Canis lupus familiaris: one gene and its partners. The protein of the gene in region 4 interacts with the protein of the main gene of each other region in a pairwise test. Links are inferred from orthologs where the notes say so. Each region holds a gene or a part of one and is shown on either strand. Other genes may lie near its edges.

Region 1 (7,269 bases), on a different chromosome or scaffold from region 4:
TTGTTTTATTTTAAGTTTACTACCTACAAATTTCCTTTAATAAAATGCATTCAGGGTTGTATTTTTTATGTGAACTGCAAATGTTCAGTAAACACTACAGTTTTGTATTTCCATGACACAAATCAAGGTACAATGTATTAACTTTAAATTCACCAGTCTTTTAAAAAAGTCTAATAATCTCTTTATTATATAGAAGGGCAAACTAAAAAATCTAGATTTTATTGAATGTTTCCAGTTTATAGTTTTAGGGGAAACGTGGTCAGTCCAGATTCTCTGATAACCTATCCAGTTTCTCTCCACTCTTCATTCCTTCCCCTAATGTACAGACTCTGTCTGTGATCCTAAAAATTTTTATTTTTAGGCTTTTTATTTCCTGGGAGGAAGAATAAAAATGTTAGAAGTAGGAGAAAATGCCGAGAAATTTAAATATTATTAAGGTTTAGATATATTAATGACAGTTATTATTGTATATAGTTAAATACATTAATGAAAGCAGTTTATTATAATTACATGCTGTTTAAGAGCAGTGGTGATTTCTGTATTTCTAGTCTAGAAAATAAAAGACTAGAAATATTTGGATCCCTGAAGAAACATTTGTTCAGTATTAATTGATTTCCTATTAAGTTATGTCTCTGAGAAAGTTAAGATGCCCTTAGATGAGCAAGTTTAATTTGAAATTTCTGATGAAATAGTTACATTTCACAATCATGAATTTTGTTGTGGGTTTGTTTTTGTTAGAATTTGGTATGGCCAGTTTTTTGGTTTTTTTTTTTTTTTAGATTTTATTTATTTATTCATGAGAGACACAGAGAGAGAGAGAGAGAGAGAGAGAGGCAGAGACACAGGCTGAGGGAGAAGCAGGCTCCATGCAGGGAGCCTGATGTGGGACTCGATCCCGGGACTCCAGGATCACACCTTGGGCTGAAGGCAGGTGCTAAACCGCTGAGCCACCTAGGGATCCATTCCCTGGCCAGTGTTTAGAAAGTTATAATTCCATTAGACTAAATTGATAGCAGTTGACCATTGATGGAACTTTCTATGATAGAGGAGGTAGAGAAAGATGAATAGGCCCAGGAAACCTAAAGAAAAAAATTTTTTTTTTTTTTTTAAAGATTTGATTTATTTTATTCATGAGAGACACAGAGAGAGGCAGGGACCAGGTACAGTGAGAAGCAAGCTCCATGAAGGGAGCCTGATGTGGGACTCGATCCTGGGATGCCAGGATGACGCCCTGGGCCAAAGGCAGACTCTCAACCTCTGAGCCACCCAGTCGTCCCGAAAGAAACATTTTTAATATATACTCAATGATTAATATAGAGTGCAGCTAAAGAGTGATTTATAAGATAACCAGGCCAAAAATGTGATGCATACCAAATTTCAGCTCTGGCAAATTTGCAAGTTAATGGGTTGAGGCACCTAGGTAGCTCAGTTGGTTAAACATCCATCTGCTTTTGGCTCAGGTCATGATCCCAGCATTCTGGGATCAAGCCCCCTGTCAGGCTCTCTGCTTGGTAGGGGATCGGGGAGCCTGCTTCTCCCTCTCCATCTGCTGTTCCCCCTGCTTGTGCTTCCGTGTGCGCTGTTTCAGACAAATAAATCTTAAAAAAAAAAAGGGGGGGGTCAACATAAACTGATACATTTAAAGAAAACAAAACTAATTAAGATTCTAGTGATCCTTGTGGGGAAAAAATAACAAGGGAAGGGCACTGGAAGCATGATTTCTTTTTTTTTTTTTTTTTAATTTTTATTTATTTATGATAGTCACACAGGGAGAGAGAGAGGCAGAGACATAGGCAGAGGGAGAAGCAGACTCCATGCACCGGGAGCCTGACGTGGGATTCGATCCTGGGTCTCCAGGATCACGCCCTGGGCCAAAGGCAGGCGCCAAACCGCTGCGCCACCCAGGGATCCCTGGAAGCATGATTTCAAGAAACATTGTGGCTGCCTTTGGATTAAATAAAAAAGCTCAAAGACTTAGTAATGTAAGGAATCAGTGAGGAATTGAATATAGTAGTGTAACCATAGTATAATAATACTAACAGCAACTAATATTTACACAGCAGTTGCTAGGAGCCAGGAACTATTCTTTGGACACCTTTACATATATTATTTCATTTAGTCCTCACTAAAAGATACTCTCTCTGTGTGAAAGAATCTTCCACTAAAAACTACAGAATTGGTTTAAACAGGTAAACTTTTGGTATGCAAATTATCTCACCGTAGTTATGTTTAAAGGTATACATTCAATATTTTACATAAATAAAGCAAGTCAGTAGTCTATATTGCTCAGGGGATATGTATGCAAGAACTAAAACAATAGATAGAAATAACACCAGCTGAAGACTGTGGTGTTTTTGGTTTTTATTTTCTAGAGGGGGATAGGAGGAGAAGATAAGGGATATTTAAAAAATATTGAAATAGCCATGAAAAAAATGTTGCTAAATCTGAGTGGTGGATACATGGGTACTTGGCAGATTGTGTGTGTGTGTATAAGTATATAAATATATATACCTTTATATATTTATATGTATATAAAATTCTTTTTGGTTAAATTCTTTTTTAAAAGAACAGAATGCTGCATAATATTTGAGAGCTTCCTGGGTACCAGGCACCTTTTCTAAGGTCTTCATAAACCCTGTGATGCAGGTTCTATTATTGCTGATACATAGTCACACCACTGGTGTGAAACCAGGATTCAAACCCAGGAAATATGTGACTTTTAGAGCTTGTGTTTTAAGTACTATATGACTATGTTACACTCTCCCTTCATATTACAAGGTTAATGAGCTACTCAGCTATTTTCACCAAAGTATGTTTCACAATCATTTATTTGAATTTTTTTTTTTTTCAGATTTTAGTCTGTTCTTTTTTTCTGGTTACTGATGTATTTTTTTCCCTTTTACAGATAATGGCATCAGCTGCTAAGGAATTTAAAATGGACAACTTTTCACCTAAAGCTGGTACTAGCAAATTGCAACAGACAGTACCAGCTGATGCATCTCCTGATTCTAAGTGTCCTATATGTTTGGATAGATTTGATAATGTGTCTTACTTAGATCGCTGTTTACATAAGTTCTGTTTTCGCTGTGTACAGGAGTGGTCAAAAAACAAAGCTGAATGTCCACTATGTAAACAGCCCTTTGATTCTATTTTCCATTCTGTGAGGGCAGAAGATGACTTCAAGGAGTATGTCCTAAGGCCTTCATATAACGGTTCTTTTGCAACCCCTGATGTTCCACGATTTCGCTATCGTACAACTATGACAAGAGATCGAAGTGCTTCTGTTTATTCACCTAATAATACTATGAGTAGAAGAACAACAACTCCACCAGATAGTGGAGTACTATTTGAGGGGTTAGGCATTTCAACAAGACCTAGAAATGGTGAAATTCCTCAACTTATGAGACAGATTGCAGTAAGGAGGCCAACTACTGCAGATGAAAGATCTTTGCGGAAAATTCAAGAACAGGATATTATTAATTTTAGACGAACTCTTTATCGTGCTGGCGCCCGTGTTAGAAATATTGAAGATGGTGGTCGCTGCAGGGATATTTCAGCTGAATTTTTCCGTAGAAATCCAGCTTGCCTTCACAGATTAGTCCCCTGGCTAAAACGTGAACTTACAGTTCTTTTTGGAGCTCATGGATCTTTAGTGAATATTGTCCAGCACATCATCATGAGTAATGTTACTCGCTATGACTTGGAAAGTCGGGAATTTGTGTCTGACTTAAGACCATTTCTGCTTAATCGGACTGAGCATTTTATACATGAATTTATCAGTTTTGCTCGATCTCCTTTTAACATGGCAGCTTTTGACCAGCATGCTAATTATGATTGCCCTGCTCCTTCATATGAAGAAGGTAGCCATTCTGATTCTTCAGTCATAACAATATCTCCTGACGAAGCTGAGACTCAAGAGTTAGATATCAATGTAACCACTGTTAGTCAGGCACCGTGGGATGATGAAACTCCAGGGCCATCTTACTCAAGCTCAGAACAGGTACACGCTGCCATGTCTTCCCTTTTAAATACTTCTGATAGTTCAGATGAAGAACTTGTAACAGGAAGAGCCACATCTCAGATACAAGGAGTACAAACTAATGAAGACCTCAATAATGACAGTGATTCTTCTTCAGATAATTGTGTCATTGTTGGGTTTGTTAAACCACTAGCTGAGAGGACCCCAGAACTTGTTGAACTGTCCTCTGATTCTGAGGAGTTAGGCTCTTATGAGAAAATGGAGACTGTGAAGACACAAGAACAGTCTTATAGTTCTGGTGATAGTGATGTTAGTAGATGCTCATCTCCACACTCTGTCCTTGGAAAGGATGAGCAAATAAATAAAGGTCATTGTGGTTCTGGTAAAAGAATCAAGTCAAAGAAAGAAGAGAAGCACTCTACATCATTGTCATCTCCCAGAGACCTGAGCTCGTCTATCAGAGGAGACAGGGTATATTCCCCATATAACCGTAGACACAGGAGGAGGGGAAGATCAAGAAGTTCAGATTCTCGTTCCCAGAGTAGAAGTGGGCATGATCAGAAGAGTCGTAGAAAGCATCATGGGAAGAAAAGGATGAAAAGCAAAAGGTCTAGGAGCAGGGAGAGTAGCAGACCTAGAGGTAGAAGAGACAAGAAGAGATCAAGAACCAGAGACAGCAGTTGGTCAAGAAGAAGCCAGACTCTCTCTCTCAGTAGTGAAAGCACAAGCAGATCAAGATCTCGTAGCAGTGATCATGGTAAAAGAAGATCACGGAGCAGAAATAGAGATCGTTATTATTTAAGAAATAATTATGGAAGCAGGTATAAGTGGGAGTATACTTACTATAGTAGAAACAAGGACAGGGATGGCTATGAATCATCTTATAGGAGGAGGACTCTGTCCAGAGCTCATTATTCCAGACAATCTTCAAGTCCAGAATTTAGAATTCAGTCCTTTTCTGAAAGAACAAATGCTAGGAAAAAAAATAATCACAGTGAAAGGAAGTATTACTACTATGAAAGGCACAGATCAAGAAGCCTGTCCAGTAATAGATCAAAAACTGCATCTACAGGGCCTGACTGGGTAAGAAATGAAAAGCCCGGAGGGAAACGAAAATACAAAACACGGCATTTGGAGGGTACTAATGAAGTGGCTCAACCTTCTCGTGAGTTTGCTTCTAAAGTAAAGGAAAGTCATTACCAAAAGTCCTCATCAAAATTGGATGGCAACCACAAAAATGAGAGTGACAGCTTTTCAGACAGCCGATCATCAGACAGAGAGACAAAACACAAAAGGAGAAAAAGGAGGACCCGGAGCCTAAGTGTAGAGATAGTTTATGAAGGCAAAGCTACTGATACAACTAGGCATCATAAAAAGAAAAAGAAGAAGCACAAGAAGAAGCATAAGAAACATCATGGGGACAATGGTTCACGTTCGCCAGTTGTAATTACCATTGACAGTGATAGTGATAAGGATTCTGAAGTAAAGGAGGATACAGAATGTGACAATAGTGGTCCTCAGGACCCTCTACAAAATGAGTTTTTGCCTCCTCCCTTGGAACCATTTGAAGCTAAAGATGTAGTTACAATAGAAGATGAATTTGGCATCCTAGACAAGGAGTGTAATATTTCCACACTTAATGACAACTTGAATAATGCCAACAAAACTGTGGATGATATTCCACCCCAGGCAGCTTCGGTTGAACAAACTCTTGATGTAAGAGAAGAGAGTACTTTTGCCTCTGATTTGGAGAACCAGCCCAGTAATGTTGCTATTCACACTGAGCCATCAAGGCAGTTGCCGTCTCCACGGACATCGTTAATGTCAGTATCTCTTGGTAGAGACCACGATATGTCTTAAAACTGCCAAAGCATCTCATTGAGAATTCTGATGGTATAAAAAAAAAACAAAAAACAAAAAGAACAGTGTCATCTACTGCAGTCTATTTAAAGATGACTTTTGGTGAAAACTCTTAGCCCCTTAAAAATATTTTAAGTAATTTTTTTTTGTGTTAAAAATTTGTAAAAATCATTATTTGTTCAAAAAGTATGTATGTCCCACCCTCAGAGATATGCACTTTTAAGTGAGGAAAATGATATTGCTAGCAGTTTATTTAAAACTTGGGATCCTTTTTAAATAAAAAAAATATAAATTTTAGAAGTTATTTCATAAAGCCATATGGTATTGACATATTTTTAAAGTAGTCAATGAGTATTTTTGAATTTTTTTTTTTGAGAGTTATTCTGGAAATGTGTTATAAGCTAGGAGAATCCCTTTGGACAGTTTATTTTTCTTCTTAAAAATTTGTATGATTCAAAACCATTTCTTCAGGTTAAATTGAGGCATTTTAATCTGCACAGTTTGACACCTGCCAAAAGAAAAATTTAAATATTTCCTTTATATACTTGTTTATCTGGACTGCCAGTAAAACAGATGTGTATTCAACAAAATAAAAAATAAAACAGTAACACTTTAAAACAAGAATCTAGAAATTTTCCTACGCAGTATTGCCTTAAAAAAAAAAAAAATCGAATTACTTGAACTACTTAGAGGAGCTAAAATCTTCAAAATAGTTAAGGGTATACTTGTTAATACTAAATTTCAAGTGATCTGCATTTTAATTTAGTTCTTTAATCTGATTATGAGGAATATCTTCAGCAGAATGCAGCTATGTAGCATTTAGCTTACTAAAAACAAAAGATCCTTGCCAAAGTTCTTTTACATTGGTACTTACACACAAAGTAATTATGTTTATGTTTTATTCTGTTTTAGAAATGACAAATTGCTCTCCATCTATCCTAAAATAAGATTGCCAGTGAGTAACAGAACTTGGATTAAGTCTAATTCAGCCTTCAGTTTGCCTTGCTACCATATTCATTTGTTGTTCAACAGAAATTGGGATGCCTGATGTGTGGCAGGTTCTATACTATGTTTTTAGGGTTTTAGTGGTAGAACAAAGCAGATACGCTCCTTGCCATCGTGGAACATATATGTAAACATTACAAACCATAAGTTCTTTGGAGGGAAAGTATGATTTCCTAGAAGAGCATACAGTGGGGGCCTAATCTCATGTGGAAATGATGGCTGAATTGAAATTCAGAAAACAGATGTTAGCTAGGAGTAGAGTTGTTCTTAGCAAAGGGAAAGACATCCAAAGATTCAAAAGCAGAAGGATAGCCTTGCATATTCCAAGAATTGAAAGAAGGCAAAGTTAGTCACAGGGCAGAGTGTGGCACTAAGCTTTGTAGGTCATGTTTGTATTTGTCCTAATGGCGGTAGGAAATTCTTTT
Region 2 (7,910 bases), on a different chromosome or scaffold from region 4:
TCCTTCTCTCCAAATCACTGAAATTTCTATGAGATATACAAACTAATTCATAGTAACTTTTGACCTAGAGGACTGAACACAACAACAACAACAACAACAACAACAACAACAAAAAACAAGCTCTGGGCCTGATGAAAACTCAAGTGTTGGAAGGGGCAGTTGGTATTTTTTTTTTTTTTTTTTTAGATTTTGTTTATTTGACAGAGAGAACAAGTAGGGGGAGCAGCAGAAGCACACGCCCTGCTGAGCAGTGAGCCTACTGCAGGGCTTGATCCCAGGACCCTGACCTGAACCAAAGGCAGAGACTTAACCAACTATGCCACCTAGACACTCTGGCAGCTAAGACTTAGAATCAAATACTTGAGCTTGAGTTTAGCTTGGTCTTACCTGGGAGTAGGGAGTATAGCAACAGGGAAAGAACCTGAGTGTCAGGAGAGGGTACACATCTTCCCTATGGACAAAATCCACAAAGTAGTTGGTCATGGTCCAATTCAACAGGTATCTGAGGAGGTTGCTAGGCTGGTACCTTCATTCTTGTGGCTTGGGTAGGGTCTCATGGGAAGGATTATACTGAAGGTTTAAGCTATATGAGAGGGTTATTCATGTTATTTATTATTATTTTAATGCCAATTATAGGTTTAACTGTCTTGCTGCCACTGCTAGACCAAGAGCTCCTGAAAAGCTTTTTATCTCCTCAGCACCTAACAATCTCTGAACAGCATTCAAATGTTTGTTGAACAAATGACATAATGGCTTAGGTCCCAGCCAACTAACCTAAAATGCTGAGTTTTTCCAGTATGTAGTTTGGGTAAACTGCCCTAATTTTGGTGCTTGAATTGGTACCTGCATGTGAGTGATCAGCCTGGTTGAGAATGGCCTCTCTGGGGATGCCTGGGTGGCTCAGTGGTTGAACATCTGTCTTCAGTTCAGGTCATGATCCTGCGACCCCGGGAATCGAGTCTAGTCTCGCATAAGGCTCCCGGCAGGAAGCCTGCTTTTCCCTCTGTGTCTGTCTTTCATGAATAAGTAAATATATATATTTTATTATTATCTTTTATTTATGATATAGAGAGAGAGAGAGAGAGAGAGAGAGAGAGAGAGGCAGAGAGAGAAGCAGGCTCCATGCACCGGGATCCCGACGTGGGATTCGATCCTGGGTCTCCAGGATTGCGCCCCGGGCCAAAGGCAGGCGCCAAGCCGCTGCGCCACCCAGGGATCCCTATTTTAAAGAGAATGGGGTCTCTGGAAGGGCAAAGGCTTTGGAAGAAAAGTAGGCAATTCATAGACGGGCAGAAAGACGACTGTTTTGGGAAGAAAACCTCCCCTCTGTTCACCTTCAGCCCCACCAAAGGCGTGGGGTCTCCGGCGACGGTCTGAGTATTTGGGGTAGGGGGTGAGGGACCACAGGGAGACTTGGGGCTTAGGTCCACTTTAGATTCTAGCAGCCCAGGCTTTCCCCCAGGGAGAGGAGTCTCGTTCCAAGTAGGAACCTCTTCAGGCGGCCAAATCCCAGTCGGCCCGGCCTTCCTCGCAGCATGATCGCGCCGGGCGGGCAGAGCAGCGCAAGGGGCCGGAGCAACAGTGAGCAGGTTGAGTCCCCAGAACGTCCTCCCTTCCCACCCGTTGGCTCACGCACCCTTTCAAGGAGTTAAGCTCCGGGCGCGGGTCTCGGAGCCCCTCCCCTCCCCGCTTCCGACCCCGCCCCCGCCCCCGCCCCCGCCTCCGCGGTCCTGGCGGGCTCACCCGGAGGGGGCGGCCCCAGCCCCAGCGCCGGGCCGGGCGGAGCTCGCGTCCGGGCGGAGCTGCCGCTGCAGCGTCCAGCTGCCGGACCGACCGACCTCCAGCCTTGCAGCCCCCCCACCTCCCCGGCCCACCCTCCGAGCCTCCCGAGCCCCCTCCCCGCTCCCCGCAGCTGTGCTGGTAAGTCCCGCTCGTCGCACCAAACTTTTTTGCTGCGGAGTTTGAGTCCTGCCGCGGGACCCCAGGCAGCACTGTAGTTGGTTGGCCGGGAGGGGGGTGGGGGTGGGGGTGGGGGTGGGGGTGGGGGGCGAGGAATCGAGAGCAGCCGTCCTGACCGTCACCACTGCACAGCTTCTCCGAAGCGGGTCAGATCTCACCCGTTCCCCGAGTTGGTAGAACTCTTGACTTGAGCTGGTTAAACTCGTCGAGGAGGAGATGACGGTGTCTGCTCCAACTTCGCCACCCCTCCCCCATTTCTCTAAGATTGAGCAGTTCTCGCTACTTTCCCCCCGTATTTCAAGTGTCTCTGGCTCTCTAAAAGCTCACCCCCTCCCAGTCCCGGCGTGGCAGAGCCCTCCCTCGGGCGCTGCGGGCCCGCCTCCCCTTCCTCACCCCCGGGGACCCTCCGCTCTGGCACCCCAGCCGGAGCCGCGCAGGGGCTGGGTCGGGCGGAGGGAGGGGCCGAGGCCGGGGCCTGTCCGGAGCCGGGCGGGCGGGGCCGGGAGGGGAGGCGCAGGGGCCGGGCGGGGCGGAGCAGGCGGCCTTTGCGGCGGGCGCCGGGGTGGGGAGTTGCGCGCCGGTCCCTGGGCCTGGGCTCGGGCTCGGGCTCGGGCGCCGGCGATGTCTCAAGATGGCGGAGCTGGGCGAGTTAAAGGTACCGGCCCCCTCCCCCAGCCCCGTGTGGACTGCGCCCGCGGAACGCCGAGTCTGGGAGGCGACCGAGCCCGGGTGCCGAGGGCTCGGCGGGGGCGGGGGGCGCGGAGACGTGGCGGAGACCGGCTGCCCGAGCGGGAGCCGAGCGGCGGCGGGAGCGGACCGGGCTGCCACGGGCTCGGGGGCGGGGCCGCGGGGCAGATGCAGGGGTGGGGCCGAGGGGAATTGCCGCTGTCGGGGGCCGAGGCGCAGGGGGCGGGGACGCGGGGGTACGGGTCGGACTCGGTGGTCGGGGCGGGTGCCCGAGGAAGGCCGAGGTCCCAGCTGCCGCGGGGGCGCGGGGGGCGAGTCACCGAGGCCGCGAGACGCGACAGTAGGGGGCAGATGCGGGGCTGGGACGCGGGCAGAGGTGCGGAGGCGCCCGCGCGGTGCCGCCGAGGGGATGGCAGCTCTGGGGCTGCCGCGGGCTTCCGAGCCTCGGGAGCACCGCGGGCGGCGGAGATCCCGGGGGCGGGGCCGCGCGGGCTGCGGGTTCGAGGGCGGCGAGGAAGCCGCTGCCCTGGTGGATCGGTCTTTGGGCTTAGGTACAGGAGTGTGAGGCTGTGGGATGGAAAGGGGACGTTCTTGACAAAGCTAACGGAGAACTGAAAACCGGACAGAGGAAATGAGGGTGGGAGAAAGGTAGATGGGCCAGTTTTTCACCGCATTCCTCAAAAGGGGCCCGAAGCCAGGGAGGCTCCTGGGAGGGGGCGACTCGTGGACGGCTGGCAGAGCCCGCCCGTGACAGGGCTCCCGGGGAGTCACGGAGGGTGTCCTTTTGCGAGAGAGCGAGCGTGTGGTGCCCGCCTACTGCCACACAGGCTTGAGGGTACCCCTATCGGAGGACATCTCACAGAACCTTAAAAAAACCACTGGGTTCATCCCCCTGCCTCCTGGCTTTGTTCTGCCTTTTGAAATGGAGCCGTAGTCTTTGGCGGGCTAGTCCCTGGGTCCAGCTGCCCCAGGAGAACTTGCAGGTCTGCCCCCAGGCTGGGAAGGCGCCCCAGCCTTCTCATCTCCCCAGGGCCCCTGCTTACAGCTTAGCCCTCTCCTCTCCCACGGCTATGGGGGGGGGGGGGATTACTTATTTTCTCTATGTAGGAGAGAAACAGGATATTAGTTCCTGGCAGATGGAGTAAACAGGTAAACAAGAAAGTAACCCTGGACTGGGTGATTTACTATGAACCCCTTTGCCCCAAGTTTTGGTCGCTTATCTCCTAGAAGAATAGGACTGAGGGAAAGGTGTTGATGCTTACAAAGGATTTGGGGGGAAGTTACAAGCATTGAACCCTGACCTGAAAACCCTGGCCACAGACGCTTCAGAGGCTTGGGGAAAATAGCTGAGGTGGCTTGAAGTGTTGGGAGGGGTGTGCCATGGTGCACAATCCTCTGGCCACCTGCCCCCTTTCTTCCCTGTGGGGCTGTCTGGCCTGATTCCTCTTCTCCCCCTCCTTCTCCCTGTCTCCTACCCTCTTTCCAGGAGGCTGGGTTGGGTCTGAGAGTCTGAGAAAGGGCAGGAGAGGAGATAAGCTGCTTAAAGGAGCGTCTAGGCTCAAGGCAGGGTTGGAAGTAGGAGGCCACAGTGGACTCGGAGGTGTGCCTGTGGATGGCTTGCTGCCTGCACCCTGCCCCACCTGGCCAGCTTACAGGCACGGGGAGATAGGGTTACTCAGGCTCTGGGGGGGGGGCAGTGGTAAGGTTGACCTGAGGGCTGCTGAATGGGACTGAGATGTCCCTTTGGCCAGATTGGCTGTCCGGCTGTAATCACTGGCTGCAAAGCATATTTCTCTTGGGGAGGGGGGCGGGGGAGGCACTGCCTCTTTGGCAGTATTCTCAAATGTCTCTGTTCTCTGCAGCACATGGTGATGAGCTTCCGGGTGTCTGAGCTTCAGGTTCTGCTGGGCTTTGCTGGCCGGAACAAGAGTGGACGAAAGCACGAACTCCTGGCCAAGGCCCTGCACCTGCTCAAGTCCAGCTGTGCCCCCAGCGTCCAGATGAAGATCAAGGAGCTTTATCGCCGACGCTTTCCCCGGAAGACCCTGGGCCCCTCTGATCTCTCCCTCCTCTCTCTGCCCCCTGGCCCCCCTCCTGTCGGCTCCCCTGGCCCTCTTACTCCCATTCCCCCTGCCCTCTTGGCCCCTGGCACGCTGCTGGGCCCCAAGCGTGAGGTGGACATGCACCCTCCTCTGCCCCAGCCTGTGCACCCTGATGTTACCATGAAACCATTGCCCTTCTATGAAGTCTATGGGGAGCTCATCCGGCCCACCACCCTCGGTATGGCTCTGCCTCCTCCATCTTCCTGAATCTTACCTCTTGCCCAAGCCTTGGGCTTTAGTCCTGTGGGATCAGTGGCCTGGGATGGGGGTAGCGTCTGTGGCTGCCTGTCATGGGCTCAGGAGTAACTGCTCCTTTGTATCCTCAGCGTCCACTTCTAGCCAGCGGTTTGAAGAGGCACACTTTACGTTTGCCCTCACACCCCAGCAAGTGCAGCAGATTCTCACATCCAGGTACCTCTCTTCCCACCCTCCTACCTCTGACCTGGGGTGGTTATCCCGGGACTCTGCTCTCTGCCTTTCTTCTCGTCTGTCCTCGTCTCCTGCCTGTCCATCCTTCTGCACCTGTGTCATCTCTCATTCTCTTGTGCATCTCTTCTCTATCTCTGGGACACGTAACTGTTTCTCTGTCTATTCAGCCTGGCCCTCTGGGGGCCACATCCTGACATGTTTCCCTCTCCTCCCTGTCATAGAGAGGTTCTTCCAGGAGCTAAATGTGACTATACTATCCAGGTGCAGCTCAGGTGAGTTGATCCTCCCGCCTCCTTCCCTGCTGGGCTTCCACTGGGGGTGGGAATGAAATAAGGGTATGTCGGACACTGCTAGGAGATAGCCCTGCTGTGCTACGTCCACCCTGACCCTGGGACTCTTGTGGGTGCTGAGGGCTACAGATACAGAGATCTGTGACTGGCTGACTGAGGTTCCCTGCCTTTCTGTCAGCTTCAACTCAAGAGACTACCTCCCCCACCCTTTCATCTTTTCTTCTCTTACCAGATTCTGTCTCTGTGAGACCAGCTGCCCCCAGGAGGATTATTTTCCCCCCAACCTCTTTGTCAAGGTCAATGGGAAACTGTGCCCCCTGCCGGTAAATGCTCTTCCCTTCTTCTGGCAGTAACCCCTTCCCTCTTTCAGTTCTTAAATGTTAAATACAAACGTATTAATGAAGAGATGTGTGTAGCACAGTGCCTGGTACATAGTAGGTACTCAGCGTATTGAGTGATGGATACAATCTAGAGGATACTAAGATAGGGTTGATGCACAAGGGTTCTGTCAGAACCCAGAGGAAGCACATCAGTTCAACCCAAAGGTTCAGGGAAGATTTCTCTGAAGTGATGACCTCAGAGCTGAAAGTTAGAAGTAGTGGGGCAACCCTATTCTTCCTCCTCAGGAGCTCAGTGAGTGGGTTTCTATTTCCCTGGTCAATAAATAAGCTCTCCTTTCTCCCCAGGAATGAACCCCACACACAACCCTAGATAGTGCTTCAGTTTTGTGAGTCACTGAATGGGTCCCCATGTCCCTGGTCAGTGAGTGAGCTGGTCTTCCTTCCAGGAAGTGAGTAACCTGAGACAAGATGTCTTGACCAGCCCCTCCCTTCCCTAGGGTTACCTTCCTCCTACCAAGAATGGGGCTGAGCCCAAAAGGCCTAGCCGCCCCATCAACATCACACCTCTGGCTCGACTCTCAGCCACTGTTCCCAACACCATCGTGGTCAACTGGTCATCTGAGTTTGGACGGGTGAGCAGGGCTGGGGCAGGGAGCCTGGAGAAGCCTGCAGGGGGTGAGGGGCATCGTCCAGTGTCCTGGGTTGGGAAAACATCTTCCTCTTTATGGGTCTTTCTGCCTTAACCCGTTGTCTCTGATCCTCATGGGACAAAGGATTGGGGTGGTGGTGGTGGTGGTGGTGGTGGTGGTGGTGGCTGCGAGGAGCAGAGCAGAGGCTAACTGTCTCCCCCTACCTCCAAGTAGAACTATTCCTTGTCTGTGTACCTGGTGAGGCAGTTGACTGCAGGGACCCTTCTACAAAAACTGAGAGCAAAGGGTATCCGGAACCCAGACCACTCTCGGGCACTGAGTAAGTAACATCCTGCCCCTCTTTCCCGCTCTGATTTGGATCCAAGTCTTCCTGGTCCTCCAGCTTTTAAAACCAAACCCATTCCCCTCTTGTGACAAGTATCCCTCACGTCTCACCTGAACCCCAATCCTCCCCCTATCCCCTTACTAATCTTCATGGTTGAGAAGTTAGCGGACTCCCAGGCACTGAGTGATATCCTTGCATTCTCAGTTATACATCTGCTTTGCACCTCACAGACCCTGTCTCCAGCCCTGCTGGGATATGGCTTCTTTAGACTGGAAGAGTCTTAAGGATCATGTAATGTAACTCTCTTATGCCTCAGTTCCCTCTAAGTCATCTCTGCCAAAGTGTCACCCAGCTTTATTTAAGCATCTTCAGGGATGGAGAAATCTCTCCTTCACACCCAGTCTTCATGTGATATCCTACTGGCCTCAAAGACCACCCCCATATGACATCCCATTGGCCCCCAAAGGCACTCTACCCAGCTGCTTCTCAGCCAGAGCCATCTGCTGCTGGCCTCACCACCTCCTAGGCTTCATCTCCAGCTCTGCTGACCCCATGGCTCTGGTCTCATTCTTGTTTCAGTCAAGGAGAAATTGACCGCTGACCCAGACAGTGAGGTGGCCACTACAAGTCTCCGGGTGTCACTCATGTGCCCGGTAGGTACAAGGGAGATGAGAAGGGGGAGGGAGGTTGGGTTTAACTCTGGACCCAGTTGAGGGTTCCTAGGGCTACCAGAGTGAGACTTCCGGGAATATAGGGACTCTGAGCAGAGAATTTGTCTCTTCTCAGCTAGGGAAGATGCGCCTGACAGTCCCTTGTCGTGCCCTCACCTGCGCCCACCTGCAGAGCTTCGATGCTGCCCTTTATCTACAAATGAATGAAAAGAAGCCAACATGGACATGTCCTGTGTGTGACAAGAAAGCTCCTTATGAATCTCTTATCATTGATGGGTAGGGTCACTCTGCATTCTGCTTCCTTTTACCTAGGACATCCACTAGGAATCCCCATCTATGTATCAGGAGACCTTCTTTCCCTCCCCTCCCATGAACCCCAACGTTTTTTTTTTTTTTAAGATTTTATTTATTTATTCATGAGAGACAGAGAGAAAGGCAGAGACACAGGCAGAGAGA
Region 3 (7,269 bases), on a different chromosome or scaffold from region 4:
GGCGTATGCAGCGCCCACCACATGTAGCAGCTGGGGGCCCACGCCAGGTACAGGGCACGCGCGTGCCCCAGCAGCGCTGCACCACACCACCCCCGGCACTTGTTTCACGTCAAAGCTGCATCTGCCTCCAAGAGACTCCAAGCACCTCGGGTGCAGTTGCACAGAAGGGAGGCCCTTTCCTGCTCCAGGACACCCTGGGGCCCTCCCTCATCACACTCACAGACCAGCCACCGCAGGGCCACTCTGCTGTCTATGGCAGGCCCCACGGACACCTCCCACGGAAAGGCCCTGTCCACAGCGCCTCCCCCTCCTCCAAGCCCAAGTGAGAGCAGTAGGTCTTTCTGGTGAAGTTCCCCATGCCCTCCTGCCCCACCCCAGGCCCAGCCGGGAGTGCTCTGAAGGCACTCTGGGACAGTCCTCATGGGCGCCCCCAGAATCACCCAGCTCCAGTACAAGGGTGGGACAAAATAGCCAATCCTCCAGGAAAATGCACGAATCAAGGACCCTGCCTCCAGGAAGCCTCCCTGGCTATGCCCAGGCCCTGGGGATGCTGGGACTGTGGTCTGGGTGAGGCACAGCCACACCTCCAAACCCCAGGCCCATCTGCCCCTGGAGCTGTCGGAGCTGCCGCCACTTGAGCCTGGGTGACCCGCTCTAGGCCTGTGAGGGTGGGGGGAGAGGCAGGCACGGGGCCGCACAGCTGCCAGACCAGGAACAGAGCAGCCATTCAGCCCTGGCCCTTGTGCCCGGCCCCAGGGGCCTCCTCACTCCACCCCAAGGCTAGACGGCGTGGGGGCACTGGGGCGCGGCAGCTCAGCCCTGCAAGGGAGGGGACCCGGGCTCCGAGCTGGCCTGGTCACCTATAAGCTGGGCACGCCGGGGCAGGTGATGGCCCCTCTGAGCCTCAGTCTCCTCATCTGTAAGGTGGGAACGATCAAGGCCCACCTCCCGTCATAGTGGGCGGGGATGGCTTGACGACAGCCAGGAGTGGTGACCCGATGGAGACAAGCACCAGAACTTGGGGACGGATTCATGCCAAACCCCTAGAGGCCACAGGCATACCCCCCGCAACACGCGTCTGGGCCCTCACGGACTGCCAGGTGCAGCGTGTGGCCACAGACCCAGCCTGGCCACGGCCTCTCTCCCTCCCCACCCCCCCAGCTCTGGGGACAGGACATGGGTGTGGTTGGCGCCTGGCAGGAGCTGCTCGGTCAGGTGCTGGGCTCAGTTTCTGGAACCTAAGACCTGAGCAGTTTCCCTTTTGGGGAGAATGGCCTATTTCCTCTTGTCCCCCCTCCACTCCGTGGCACTGTGGGGGGGACCTGGTGGTTAGGTCACGGGGACAGCCTGGCTGCACACTGGCGCCACCTGGGAAAACATCACAGGGGGTATAACGGAGACCAGGCTAACTGTTGTGTGGGAAGCAGCTCTTTGGCTTGTGCAGTGGCCGTGAGGCTGAGGCTTCCCAGGGCTGCTGCTCAGCGCGGGGGGAAAGCAGGCTCCAGATCTAGGGGGTCACAAGCACCATGGGCTTTCTGGGCCCAGGGCGCCTAAGCTAACAGCCTCCACCTTTGTAGCCAAGGCCCCGAAGAGCCCCCTGCTGCTCCCTGCCCCAAGGAGGGCTCCCCAAGCAGAGGGCTCCCCAGAAAGTCAGGTGCCCCAGGGGGCACACAGGGCCACCCAGAGCCTCACCCGTCGATGATGAGCTGGTCGTAGGGGGCTGGTTTGTCGCACACGGGGCACATCCAGGTGGGCTTCTTCTCGTTCATCTGGAGGTAGAAGACGGCATCGAAGCACTGCAGGTGGGCGCAGGTCTCCGCCCGGCAGGGCACTGACAGCCGCATCTTCACCAGCTGCGGGGAGGGGGTGGCGTCAGCGGCCCCCCGGCCCCGCACTGCTCACCCTGGAAGGCCCCACACCGCGGGCATACCCCGACTCACTGGGCAGATGAGGGAGACCCGCACGCCGGTGGTGGCGATCTCGCTGTCGGGGTCCAGACGCAGCTTCTCTTTGACTGCAGAGAAGGGGATGGCTGTCGTTAGTACAAGGGACAGAGACGTCTGTGGGGTCGGAGCCAAGAGGCAAATTTTTCTAGCACCTGCTGACGCCAGGGTAAGACGGTGCACACATGGAGCAGCCCAACATCCACCTCCCAGGAGGCTGGGATGCACATCTCGGGGCCAGAGCCAGGGCTGCGAGGGTCACCTGTGGAAGCGTCCTGGCAGCGGCTGGTTATTCCGGACAACCTGGCATGCCGACGAGGCAGGCCGTCCCAACAAGCCCACCCTGCTACACATTTCCACAGCCCCAGGCCTCTCTTGGGAAAAAGATGGGAGCCCACGGGGCCGTCCACCACAACTGTGTATCCCACACAAACGATCCCTGATTCAGCAAGAAGGGAGACGGGCCGCTTCGGAACGGTCCTGACGGCTCCGCACCACATGTGGGGCGAGGACGACCAAGGCTCCTGTCCTGAACACCCCAAACCCTGCAGGGCACGAGCGAGCCCCCAAGCACAGCTTCTTGCGTGACCAAGTCCACCCAACTAAGTAAAAGCTGACCGGCGCCTGAAGCCAGAGGCCTCATGGAAAATGCTGGCAACAACATGCAAGGCCCCCTTCTCAACTGTGAACACAGACTAGAGGAAAAACTAGAAGAAAACGCATGCAGAGCAAAACCTGGGGTGGACCCGCAAGGAGTTGCGGGGTCTCCCTCCCTCTGGACCCTTTCAGGCTCGTTCTGTCTGCGTTTGTTCTGCTCTCCGTGGGAATGGGAAACCGGCCGACAGACGCCCAGAGGACAGACTGACCGCAGACCTGCCCCTCCTTCCTCCATGCAGCCCCTCCTCCTCCCCCCACAGGGTTGGCACATCCCCACCCCACTCCCCAGCTGTCCCGAAGGCCACATCAGCCCTTCACACCTCCATGTGAGTTCCCACCTCGGGACTCGCCTCTCTGGTGAAATGCCAATGATGACACAGGCACATCAGTTTTTGAAGCAAGGCCCCCTCCCCGTGACACAGAAGGCTGGGGCTACCGGTGAGACAACTACAGGACTTCCCGCGGCAACTAGAAACCCAGTGGCCTGGCCTGAGGCTGGCTTCAGAGAGGAAACCGGACCATCGGAGTCAAGCAGGGGCCCCACATCCCATACACACTGCCCCCAACAGCACTGCGGCCCCTGCCCCTCCCAGAGTTCCACGCCCCACCTTGTGGGCCGAGGTTGAATCCTGCCTGCCCCCAGGCTAACACCTGACCCTCTGGTCAAGTCCGGCATTGTACCCACAGGGAGACGGACAGGTGGGGGGCGCTTATGAAGAAAGAGCTCTTTGAGGGAAGTGGGAGGTGCTGGGGTGGGGTACACAGGCGGGAGCCCTGCCACTTTGCGCCAAGTGTCCCCAGAGGTCAGATGGAGACCCTGCCAGGTCCCTCGGCCCAGGACTGTGAGATCTGGTCAGAAGGAGCATCACCGGAGAGGGCCAGTGACTCGCCCGAGGCCACACAGCCACCATGGACACAGACACGAGAGGAGAAACTGATCTGGTTTTGTCTGCCCGTCCTTGGTGGTTCACGTTCAGCCCTCGCTGTCCCCCCGGCCCCCTTAACACAGCCAGTCTGGTCTCCATCACCGCCCCGTACCTGCAGCAGTGAATCGGGTCTGCCCTGGCCGCCTGTGCCCCAGGCCCCCGCCTCTCAGCACCCCGGCTCACTGGGCTGGGGGACCCGCCTCTCACGGCCCTGCCTCAGGGCCTCCTCGCAGGCTCTTCTGCTGCCCAGCCCCCCTCCTCCCACACCCCCTGGGGTGACACAGGCCCACAAGCTCACCAAGCGCCTTGCACAGCTCTGGATGCTTGACCCCGATGGTTTTCAACCTCTGCAGCAGCTCTGAAGAGGTCAGCTGCCGCACCAAGTACAAGGCCACGGAGTAACTCTGGGGGCAGAGGTGGGGGAGGGGTGGTCAGGCCCAGGCAGGGCTTGTGGGAGGGCGGCAGTGGTGGTGGGGGGGACAGGCGGGCAGCACCCCCACCCCACTCACCTTGCCGTAGTTCCCCCAGGTCACGGTGATGCGGTTGGTGGCCGAGGACAGGTACATGAGGTGGGTGAGGTTGATGGGGCGGCAGGGCCTCTTGGGCTCCACTCCAGGCTTATTGGAGGGGTAGTAGCCCTGGAAGCAGACATGGGGGCTCAGGCCTCAGAAAAATGTTCCCTTGTAGGCTCTCTGCCCCATCCCGCACAGGAGGTCCCACTCACCGGGACTGAGCAGTAGCTGTGGTTGACCTTCACGGCGATGTTGGGTGGGTACTGGTCCTCCTGAGGGCCGCTGGTGTCTGAGTAGCAAATTCTGCAACAACAATGTGGACCGTGAGGCCAGCAGGGGCTCTGGACAGAGGGGCGGCCCTGAGAGGCAGATGGGTGCGGGGCCAGGGTGGAAGAGCCCATCTGGCAGGCGGATCACAGTTCTGGATGGCACAAGGGGCTCTCCGGGCTCCGGATCTGGTCTGAGCGAGCCTGTCCTGTCCACAAGCAAGGACAGAAGGCAGGAAGAGAAGAGGAGGAGGGAGGAGCCCAAGAGAAGCTGCCAGGAGGGAGAGGGGCCTGACAGGGGTGCACCCGGGGAGGACACGGGGCTACGGCCAGCAGTGGTCCAGGCCCGCCTGGGCTTACCTGAGGACGACCTGCACGGCCTTGATCCCGGGCTGCAGTTCTCTGTGTGTGCCGAGGAATCAGAGGGGAGGAGAAGAGGGGTCAGTGAGGCAGGAGAGCACTCGGCCCACCAGGCTGCTCCCTTCACCTGCTACCTTCCCTGGCAGCCGAAGGTCAATGGCTGTTGACTACAACATTCCCTCCTGTTTACTCACTGGTGAATTGGGCAAATGACCTCCTCTCTTTGTACATATGGGGGGATGTCCATGGGATATATTAAGTCAGTTGGTGGACTCAGGCCTGGCATGTGCCAAGTGGGCCAACAAATGGCTGCTCCAGTGGTGATTCCGGTCTCAGCTGGAGATCGAAGGGCCTCAGACAGCAGGACTGACAATGGCCTCTGTCCCTCAACTGTTATGGCTCAGTGTCCTCATCAGGGCGATCCTGCCCCTGCTGGACCCCAGGCAGTGCCTGGGGACAGGTGTGGTTCTCACAACAAAGGGGACTCCTACCGTCCAGTGGGGGGCGGGGTAGGGGTAGGGGGCCGGGATGCTGCTCAGCCCCTCAGGGTGCCTGGGGCACCCCACTCCAAAGAGTGACCCAGCTCCAAAACCAACAGTGCGAAGGGGAGCCCCACTGAAGGGGAGGGTACACCAGCCCACCTCTGGGGGCTGCAGGTCAAAAATGGTATGAGCACGCAGACTGAGCACAAAGCCCGGGACATATGGCAAGTGCTGAGCACAGAGGGCAGGGCTTCTGCTTCCCTCCTGCGGAGCACAGGGTCTACAGCAGGTCTACTGAAGGCTCCCTAGCCCAGCCCTCTAGATGGCCCGAGACCATGCAGTCTACTGCCTGCCATGGAGGCCAGCAGGGGTGCAGGGAGCAGCGCACCTGGAATTCCGGATCAGCTCCACTTGCCTTGGCGTCAACGCAAAGATACATGGGCTCTCTTGAAGCTTCTCATTATTCTGTGGAACTAAAGATAAACGCAGAGTCAGGGTTGCCCCTGGTCCCCGGTACAGAAGCCAGCCACATCCACTTCCATGGGCCAGTCCCTCCTTAGACTGGGAAGCTGGGAACAGGAGGTTGAGCCTCACTCAGGCAGCTGGGCCTGTGGGATGGAAGCAAGACCTCTAAGGAAGAAGTGCCTCCGATTCAGGGAACACCCCCAACCCTGGAACGGCCCTGGGAAGCAGCAGCCTTCATGGCTCTCTGGGGTTCAGGTCTCTAAGGAAGACAGAGAAGCCCTGGGCTCAGGGAAAGGAGCCTGCTGGCTCGGCAGGACACAGTGGGACAGCCTGCATGCCCTTGGGCCAGCTGCTTCACCCGGAGCCTGTAAGATGCCAGCAACAACTCTAGCCGCACCTTGTATGGCTGTTCCAGGCACCCGCGGGACAGAGGTCCTGCCTCGGTCATCCATGGCCAATAGTGGCAGAGATAGGAGTGAAACAGTGAATCTCCCAAGTGCACAAAACAAGAGTCACGGAACAGCCCAGCTCACAGTGGGAGGCATGAGGGCAGCAGGGAACACCATACAGAGCCACACCAGCCATCCCAAAGCACCCACTGGGTGCAGAAGTAGAGGAACATCTGCCAGCAGATGGAGACCATGTGGTGACAAGCTGACTCTCCACTCTTAGTTATAACTGCATCGAGAACCCCTGGGGTGATCAGAAAGTCTCTGAACTGAATGAGAGTATACAGTGCTCCAAAACTTGGGGGAAGCAGCTAACACAGTCATTAGAGGCAAAATCATAGCTTTAAACGCTTCTGTTAAAAAACACAGGAAAAGGTTTTGAATGAGTAACTTGCATTTCTTCCACAAAAAACTAAAAAAAGAAGAGCAAACTAAGAATGAAGTCATTAACAGGAAAGAAACTAAAGATAAAAATAGAAAGCAACAGAGAAAATCAAGCCAGAGTTCTTTGATAAACTAGCTAGAATGAGCAATAAAAAAAGATCGTAAACATACATACTGTCAGAAACGAAAAGGTAGACAGTAGTACAGATCCCATGGTCTTTTGGTTTAATATTGGAATGTAACAATTTTATGGCAATCAATTTGAAAACTCAGATGAAATGGACAGACTCTTCCAAAGATCCAAATGACCAAAACTAGCAACAAAAGATAAAGGAAGTTTGAGAAGCCCTTTACCAGTTAAAGAAACCGAACTCAAAATTAAATACTTTTCTGGGCAGCCCAGGTGGCTCAGCGGTTTAGCGCCACCTTCAGCCCAGGGCCTGATCCTGGAGACCCAGCCTGCTTCTCCCTCTGCCTGTCTCTCTCCCTCTCTCTCTGTGTCTCTCATGAATAAATAAAATCTTTAAAAAATAATAATAATAAATAAAAACTTTTCTGCCAAGAAAATCACAGATCCAACTGGTGAGTTCTATTAAGTTTTTATGAAACCATATAAACATTTATGAACTTTCAAAAAATAAAGAATTGCTAACTCACTTTACAAGGCTGACATGACCCTGATTCTAGAACCTGACAAAACAATATCAAGAAAGGAAAATTATAAACATTTCTCATGAACACTGTCATAAAAATTCTTTAGAAAATATCAGCAAACATCCAGGCCCTTGGGATTTAGCTCAGGAATGCAACATTGGTCTAAAACCC
Region 4 (7,864 bases):
CTTACTTGGTAACTCTGGGGAATAAATGAGTGTGTAAGAGTGTGTAAGGGAGAAAAGAACAATCCCTCCTCTTTTTTTTTTTTTTTTTTTTTTTTTTTTAATTTCAATTTCTGTTAAGCTTCATTTCAGCCTTTCAGAATTGGAGAATCAGCTGCCTGCTATAAGAAATTGCTAATAAGCAGTAATTAAAGACTGAGAATTTATTCTTTCCATTCCAAACCTGATGTCATTCCCAGATGGAGATATTGGTACTGGTTAGGCAATTCAGCATTTTGGTAAATTAAGGCAGGAGATTTTGTGTCTCTTGGGTCCTATGGATGCAGAAAGTGGTCCAGGAAGGAAAACTTGTATTTTGTTTTGCCCATGGCATTTATACCTTATTGTTTTGCTTTACAGAACCAGGAGTTGAGGTGGGCACTTCCACCTTAGAAACCAGGGGCTAGTTCTCTAAAATAACACTAATTCATAAACTTTTTATATTCTTATATCTTTGGAATTATGGTCTCTGCATAAAATGACAACTGAAAAAGATGGACAATCCAGGGAATCCAATACCGCTGATAGGAAAGAAGTGGCATATCAGAAAGCAGCATGAATACAAGCGCTATCCTCCTTTATTTAGAAAAACCACACAAAAATACAGCACAGTTGATGTGCTGTTACCAGGACTTGAAAGTAGAATCAACCACTGTGTAAAAGATAAAATAAGACTGCACGAATAGGAGGATTTTCCCAGCGTGCTTTATTCATAGACATCTGACAGAAGAGGACCTAACAGAGCTTTTAGGAAAAACTGAATTCTCAGCCCACAGTCACTTTCCAGGAACTTCACTGCAAACAGTGCTCTGCGCTGGCGGGATGGAGATCTTAGCAATCTCCCTCCTGCTTCCATAGTTTCCTTCTCTCTAAATACAATTATGTATGGGGACTTAATGAGAGAGCAAGCCTTGTGTGAAAGGAACTCAAGAAAGTGCAGCTTCTAAAAATACACCGAGGAGGCTCTACAGTCCTTATTGTTACAAACTGACGTTTTGCAGTTCAAGCTATGAACCTAACAACTACACACACACCGAAGGGGGGAAAAAAAAAGTAGACTATGTTTCCTTTCTGTAATCCCCTTAACTTCGAGTAAACAGTAGTAATTTTCTGTTGTCATACTCAATGCAAATTTCCCAAAGACGACAGAACACAAAACAAAAGACCTGTTTGCTTCCTAGGAGCTGGGTGGGGGTGGTGGGGGGTGGGGGTGGGGGTGGGGGTGGGGGTGGGGGGGGTGGAGGATGGCTGGATGAGAGGGGCAAAGTTGATGGAGTTCTCCTTTTCTCCTCAGCCTGGGGTCCTGAACCTCCAAGTCACTCTGCCGTTGTAGAGGTTTTTGAAGTTTCATTCACCTTCTGGAAAGGCTCCCTTGCCCCTCTTCTCCGCGAGCCCCCCTGTCACTACAGTCTCATCACTTGCCTCCTCCTTTGCTTCCAGCTTCTTGGAGAAACTGGACCTCAGTTTAGGGGTCTTTTCCCTGCGGATTTTAAAGAAGCGGCCGACAGAAGGCTACTGCTTAAACAACCGGGCAGGGGCGCGGGGTTGGGGTCTGCAAGAGCAACCCCGCCTTCTCCTTCCACCACGTGCTCCTCAGTTGGGGTGCAGCACTCCTGGATGGGGTGCAGAGAGGGGCGGGGCCAGGGTGGAGGGCGATGGACCGTGCAGACTGAGAGGGGAGGAGGCCCCCGAAGGAGAGATCGTCTCCACCGAACATGAACGAGAGAAAAAAAAAAAAACTGGCCCACATGCCCCTAGTGGGGAGCGATACACCCCACGCGGGCTGGGTTTGGGGGTGGGGGGTGCGTAGGGCCCGCTCACCTGACTTCCTCCTCCCCTGGCACACACACTGCAATCGCCCGCTTCTCCCCCCCCCCCCCAAAAAAAAGCTCAGCCAAACAACGAACAACAAGAGGAAGCCGCAGGCGGCAAGAGGAGGGGTGCGCGTGGTGGGGGCCCGGGAGAGGTGAGGGGGCAGGGTCGGCGGGCGTCGAGAACCGCGCCGCGCACCCCTCCGCGCACTCCCGGGCGCCCACACTTACCCCCAGCGGCTGAGGGTCCGGTCTTCGGCGCCAATCCCGGCGCGCGCCTCTCGCCCGCCCTCGTCCCTCCGGCCCGCCGCCCCCCACACCCCGGCCGGCGCGCGGGGAGGGAGCCTGGGAGCCGAGCGCGGCGTTGGCGGCGGCGGCGGCGGCGGCGGCGGCGGCGGCGGCTCGGGCTCGGGCTCGGCTCGGCTCGGGCTCCAGCGCTCCGTGCAGCCGGCGGCCGCCGAGGCTCCTCCGCCGCCAGGGGGAGAAGCCGGGGCGGGCGCTGGGGAGGCGGGCCGGGCCCTCGCCGCCCCGCCGGCCAGCCCGCTCGCACCAGCTCGGGAGCGGCGGCGGCGCGGGGTCCGCCGAGCCCCGGGGCGCGGCGCGCGGGGCCGGAGCAGCCGCGGCTGGATGCGCGCCCCGGGGGGCTGCGGGCTCCCGCGGGGGGCGCCCCGGCCGCTCCGGTGCGCCTCCAGACTGCGGGCGCGGCGGCCGCCGAGCCGAGAGCAGCTCCCGCCGGCCCCTTCCCCCCCCCCCCCCCCCCCCCCCCCCCCCCCCCCCCCCCCCCGTTAACATCCCCTCCCTCCCCCTTCCTTCCCTCGGCCCCGCGCGCTCGCCAGCTCGCTCCTCGTCTCGCTCTCCCCTTTAAACGCCCACTTCGGATGGGGAAAGAAGACAACTTGAAGTCAAGTTGCAATTAACTTCCGCGGCAGCCGCAGCTCCGGCGGCGGCGGCACAGGAGGCAGAAGCCGCCGCCTCGGAAGTCCGACGCCGGCGCGCCCGCCCGGGGAGCTGCTCCGGGTCGCGGGCCCGCACTCGACAGCCACCGCCGCCCCCAGCGCCCATGCCTGAGTGAGTGCTGCTCCTTTGCCTCCCTTTCCACCCCCCCCCCCCCCGCGCCCCGTATTCTTGCTCTCGAATCTCTGTCTCTCTGTTTTCGGAATCGATCCAAACTTCTCGGTGGCGCCCACCCCCGGCGCCCCTTGCCGGGCTGCGCGGTGCCCTCCCGCCGACGTCTGGCGGCCGGGGTCCCCCGAGCCCCTTCCCTTCTCGCGTGCGCGGCCGGACCCCGGAGGGGCGGGCGGGGAGAGCGTGGGAGAGCACCCGGGACGGGGGGCTCGGAGATGCCATTCATTCCCTCTCAGGGTGTGGGCACCCTGACACACCTGCCCGACAGACCCAGGCTGGACAAACTCCCTCAGGTCCTCCGTATGACCGCTCTTCGGAGAGAAAAGGGGGAGCCGCAAAGAGCGAAGGAGGCCGACGGGAAAAGGGAGAGGAAGCCTCTCCGTGCGCCCCGGAGCTGGGTTGGCAGAGAGGTGCCCGGCAGAGTAGGCTGGGGGAGCGGGGACGGTCCCCGCCGATCGCAAGTGAGCTCAGCATCCTTCCCCGGTCCTTCTCCTTCCTCCTCCGCCCCCCGCCCGCGCGGCTGCCTGGGAGCGGCGGCCGAGAGGGGCCTAGGAAGTTGGTGGCAACTTCTCCATCCCGGGGACGCTCGGCGCCGGGCGCTCAAGTTGGAGCCGGGATTTTGAAAGCCGCGGCACTCCGCCTTGGAGTCCCCGCCGGAGGTAGTGAGGTGGGCCCGCAGGGGCTCCCGGAGCGACTGCAGGTTTGAAGGAGGGCTGGAAGGCAGGAAGAGGCGCTGCCCTCTGAGCGGGGCTGACACATCGCAGGTGCGGCCTCAGGGTCCGCACCGTGTCTCCCTCCTGCGGTCCCGACCCGAGCGTGGCGGCCTTCTCCGGGCGCTTCCCTGCGGAGGCTCCCGGGGCGGCGGCGCGTGGGTTTGGGCAACCACCGTAAGGGGGACGAAGCAGGCAGGTGGCAGGTGGCAGGTGCGGGGAGCCACACGCGCCCACCGGGGACATGCACCGGGCGTGACTCTTGGGATGACCCCCCAGAAGGAGGAGAGGATCTCAGGGCTTTTGCTGGAGATCTTGGCCCCGACCTCCTCTGGGGCGTTGCAAGTCTCACGTACTAGTGTCAACCACAGGATCGCCTCGTAAAAGTGCCCTGGTTGGCAGCTTTGACCTCTGCGCCCTTCCTCGGCGAACTTTCTCCGCGGCATTCCAGATTTCCAGGCAATTGTTGTAAGACTTGGACTCTACGTGGTTGTATCAGAGACAGGGAAAATTAAAAAAAAAAAAAAAAAAAAAGACGTCCTATTCTCAGGAGAGAACCGTTCTACCCGGACTGGCTGGGGTTCCCTGCTTGCATCCTTGGAGGCCAGGAGACCTGACTTTTCCAAGAGGAACAGAGGAGGGGTAAGAAACAAGTGAAAGGCGACTGGTAGGTGTCAGGTTTTGTCCTCAGCAGTCCCTAAAATCGACTTACTAAGGGAGTAACGCGTGCGATTGAAACTTTATTGAAATTTACACCCTATCTAAAGTGGATTTTTCTGAGGTGTCAGGAATGTAAGATTTATTCTATAGTAAAACGTAGCTGCAAAAGCAAACAACAACAACAACAACAACCGTACTTTAAGGCTGGAAAAAGCCAAGGTTTGAGGTGTTTGCTCTAAAAACCTTTAATCGGCTGTGGGGTACTAATGCTATGATTTAGCAGCAGTCCTTTATTTCTATTGCATATTATTTTAGTGGAACAGTAGTACATTCATATACTGGCTGCTCCAGTCTGCTGGCAAACATTAGCATTCAAGCTTACATTTTTGACAAATGTGCAGACAGGAATAGCATGAATAGGCATCTTAAATATTAACAACCTAAGCATCTGTTGTGAAACAAATTTAATATATTTACTCTGTTTTTCTCACATTGTTAGAAAAGGTTATAATAAGTGCATAATTTCAACTTTAGTTAGCAGAAGTAACTGGCTGTATCTTTCACTACCTCTCCAAGTGTTTAACACAGTCACCAGACATAAGTACTTTAATTAACTTGGTTAGGCACATTGTTAAATACACTTTAGACCTAGTGTATACTATGTAAAACGTAACAGTAGCAAAATACGTATCCTATTTGTGCACATTTTAAGTGACTCTGCATTTTATAAATGTAACAGGCATGTTTATTTTTCATCTCCATTTGACACTTATTACTTCATAGTTTTTCTAATGGAAACAATATTTTAAATGTAGAGCTGTTCAGTCATATGTAATACATAATATGTAAACAGTAGCCATAAAATACAAAGCATTGTTAAATTTAAGTATGGCTACATGTAACAAGATTATACAAGAGAAACAATCACTGTTCAATTTTGTATTCCTTTCTGAATAATGAGTACAAATGATGGGTGAAATAAGAACAGATAAGGATTTCCCTCCTAAAGTACTAACTAGTGCCTTAAAAATCTGTGTGGGGGTGGGGGTGGGGAGAGCAAGAGGGAGAGAAAGGGAAAAAAAGGGATAGAGAAAGAAGACCTAAAGAACTTTCAAAAGTCTGAATAGTTATTTCCAGAATCAATGCATTCCTCATTTTCCCACAAGCTGAAATATGTAATAAATAATAGTTCTTTGTATGTAAAAGTATTCACAAGGAATGCCTTTTGTTTAGTTGTTGTAATAAATTAATATATTCTTTGGTTGATAATCTACAAAAGTAGTTCTTTTGTCTCCCAGCATCTTAAACAAGAACAACAACAAAACGAGTGAGTATTGGTTTATTTCTGCAGAGAAGTCTGTTGCCAGCTATAGGAACCTGTGACTGAATGAGCTATGGTATGCTGAGTGATGGTTAAGAAAGGCTACATTAAATTAGCAAAGACTGAAATATCTGAAGGAGATTTTCAATTATTTTTTCATGTGACAGGTTGTGGATTGCAAATTAGGCCTAAAAGGTCAGGTGACAGGCACCTGTTCCTCATTATTGTAAAAATCTTTTGGTTACAAACACTATTAAGCTAAACACAACATGGATATACAGCAGGGACTCTATAAAGCACTCTAGTGGTTTTTCATCTGCTCTGTAAATTTCCAAGAGGGCCATACATTGATATGCCCTTTACACAAACAAATCATTTCTTCCAAGACGTGTTGTCTTGAATGACTCTTACATTAGTACTTGGGATTGATGAAGTATATAAAATAAATGCATATGACTGAATCAATCTTCAGACCATGTCTAGGCAGGTTGTTATCGAATGCAAAAATATTATTTTTTAAGCCCTTCTTCTTCCTTTACAGCCCATTGTTTACTAGCAGAATTTGCCCATGTTTTAAATAGAAATCTCCCCAAGTTGCCTTCTGTCCTTTTTTAGATGAGTTCCCACTTTAAATAATGCCGTGAAAGATTTTGCTTAATACTTGTGTATAAGGAAAAAATTAGTTGCACTATATACCGTCATAGCTTTGTGGTATATAGAAAATGGGAAGAAACCCACGTTTTACATGAATGCTGTGAGGAAGGGTATCATCATTTGATCTTCAAACTTGCCACCTTTTTCAGGAGAGTTCAGTAATATTTCTATTAGAATTAAAGAGTGTGATTTTATTTTTATGAATGGTTTACTTTTAGATATTTCAGACAGCAGAGTAAGCATACATACTGAACGGACCTAAGGAGCACAAGGTTGTGAAATATTAAAGGTGCCAGTTGTTTTTAATTGGCAAAGGAGGAAGATTTTTGAGCAAATTTGGTAACTCGGATTATTAAAGTCTATATTTAAATATGTGCTTTGCTTTAGTTTTGTATGGTTTATGCTTATTATATTTAGTATTCATTTTTAGCATTTGTGATCAGATTACAGGATAGTCATAACTCTTTGCTTTTCAAATTGATTTGGTTTTCAAACTCCAAAACTCTGGGGTGAATTTAACAAATTGGTTTACCTTTTGACAGAACAGAGTTAAGTTAATTAATAGATCAGGCACGAAGAATCATCCACGGTAGGGTGTATTTTCTGGTAAAATGAAAGTTATGTTTCAGCATGATGAGCATCAGGCTTCAGTAATCTGTTCCTCGTGTGGAATGAACACTTCCTACTTCGAGCTAGCAGGCACCTACTGTTTATTTACGCTGCATTAAACTGACAGCTCAGCAATCAGAGGAAAAATATTACTTACCTTCCTGAAGTAAATACCAGTTTATAGGTTAGTGCACGTATTTATATTCCTGTCACCACTAAATAACGGCTCTGTCTCCATTTTAATATCTACCTGTACTGTAATCCAGGGCTTCAGACTCTTCCCGGTTGGGGGTAGGGGTCGAGCGGAGTTTTTCTTATCACTTACCAGTGGCAAAACTTTAAAGAAGAGTAATACCATCTTCTTATTTCTGTCGTGTGAGAACCAGTTGAAAGAAATGCTATGCACTTTTACTTTACATATCTCAACTGTAACATCAAAACCCCAAAAGAGTCTGCAGGCCACTTAAAATAGTCATCTTAGAGCAACCTCGGGACAAATATGTTCAAACACCTTGAAATGTGTGTTTGCTAAATTAGCTTTCTGCAAAGTTCTAAATAGATTAAATTATCTGATTAGAGAATAACTTCGATAAAGTGTGGTACCTTCCAAGGCTTAGATTGAATGTTTGTTGTTAATGGAGATCTGCTAACATGAGTACAAAGTGGGGCTCATCGATTGATTGATTGATTGATTGATAGATACTGTTAGCTTTCCTCTGAAAATATTCTTGCCCCCTTTGTCCTCTTGTTAATCTGCCAATCTTAAGTGAGATTTCAGCTTTCTTATGATACAAATGCATGTTTTTTTTCTTCTTAAATTAAAAGTCCCTTCTTTTTTGAGCCTCCTGGAAACATCAAAATACTGTGAAAGTTGAATTCCAAAACTTAGGTTTAACTGGGAAAAAAAATGCTTATTTTCACTTACATTCTATAAGTAG

What was found.
Region 1: the proteins of SATB1 (region 4) and TOPORS interact in a two-hybrid assay, tested with the Homo sapiens proteins (2 studies listed by BioGRID and IntAct). The link is inferred for Canis lupus familiaris from reciprocal best matches to the Homo sapiens genes SATB1 and TOPORS.
Region 2: the proteins of SATB1 (region 4) and PIAS3 interact in a two-hybrid assay, tested with the Homo sapiens proteins (2 studies listed by BioGRID and IntAct). The link is inferred for Canis lupus familiaris from reciprocal best matches to the Homo sapiens genes SATB1 and PIAS3.
Region 3: the proteins of SATB1 (region 4) and PIAS4 interact in a two-hybrid assay, tested with the Homo sapiens proteins (2 studies listed by BioGRID and IntAct). The link is inferred for Canis lupus familiaris from reciprocal best matches to the Homo sapiens genes SATB1 and PIAS4.

What each region holds. Positions count from the first base shown.
Region 1 is NC_049232.1:50,037,745-50,045,013, reverse strand, and holds the end of TOPORS (E3 ubiquitin-protein ligase Topors), read left to right. Parts: intron 1-2,905; coding exon 2,906-5,839; 3' UTR 5,840-6,457; downstream 6,458-7,269. UniProt on the Homo sapiens protein: Functions as an E3 ubiquitin-protein ligase and as an E3 SUMO1-protein ligase. Probable tumor suppressor involved in cell growth, cell proliferation and apoptosis that regulates p53/TP53 stability through ubiquitin-dependent degradation.
Region 2 is NC_049238.1:59,312,527-59,320,436, reverse strand, and holds the start of PIAS3 (E3 SUMO-protein ligase PIAS3), read left to right. Parts: upstream 1-2,512; 5' UTR 2,513-2,590; coding exon 2,591-2,614; intron 2,615-3,159; exon of another isoform or gene 3,160-3,795; intron 3,796-4,508; coding exon 4,509-4,926; intron 4,927-5,074; coding exon 5,075-5,159; intron 5,160-5,398; coding exon 5,399-5,449; intron 5,450-5,699; coding exon 5,700-5,790; intron 5,791-6,305; coding exon 6,306-6,440; intron 6,441-6,671; coding exon 6,672-6,777; intron 6,778-7,362; coding exon 7,363-7,436; intron 7,437-7,569; coding exon 7,570-7,730; intron 7,731-7,910. UniProt on the Homo sapiens protein: Functions as an E3-type small ubiquitin-like modifier (SUMO) ligase, stabilizing the interaction between UBE2I and the substrate, and as a SUMO-tethering factor.
Region 3 is NC_049241.1:55,928,194-55,935,462, forward strand, and holds part of PIAS4 (E3 SUMO-protein ligase PIAS4), read right to left. Parts: intron 5,620-7,269; coding exon 5,535-5,619; intron 4,707-5,534; coding exon 4,665-4,706; intron 4,342-4,664; coding exon 4,251-4,341; intron 4,165-4,250; coding exon 4,036-4,164; intron 3,931-4,035; coding exon 3,825-3,930; intron 2,015-3,824; coding exon 1,941-2,014; intron 1,854-1,940; coding exon 1,693-1,853; intron 1-1,692.
Region 4 is NC_049244.1:25,105,064-25,112,927, forward strand, and holds the start of SATB1 (DNA-binding protein SATB1), read left to right. Parts: upstream 1-2,756; 5' UTR 2,757-2,915; intron 2,916-3,196; exon of another isoform or gene 3,197-4,324; intron 4,325-7,864. UniProt on the Homo sapiens protein: Crucial silencing factor contributing to the initiation of X inactivation mediated by Xist RNA that occurs during embryogenesis and in lymphoma.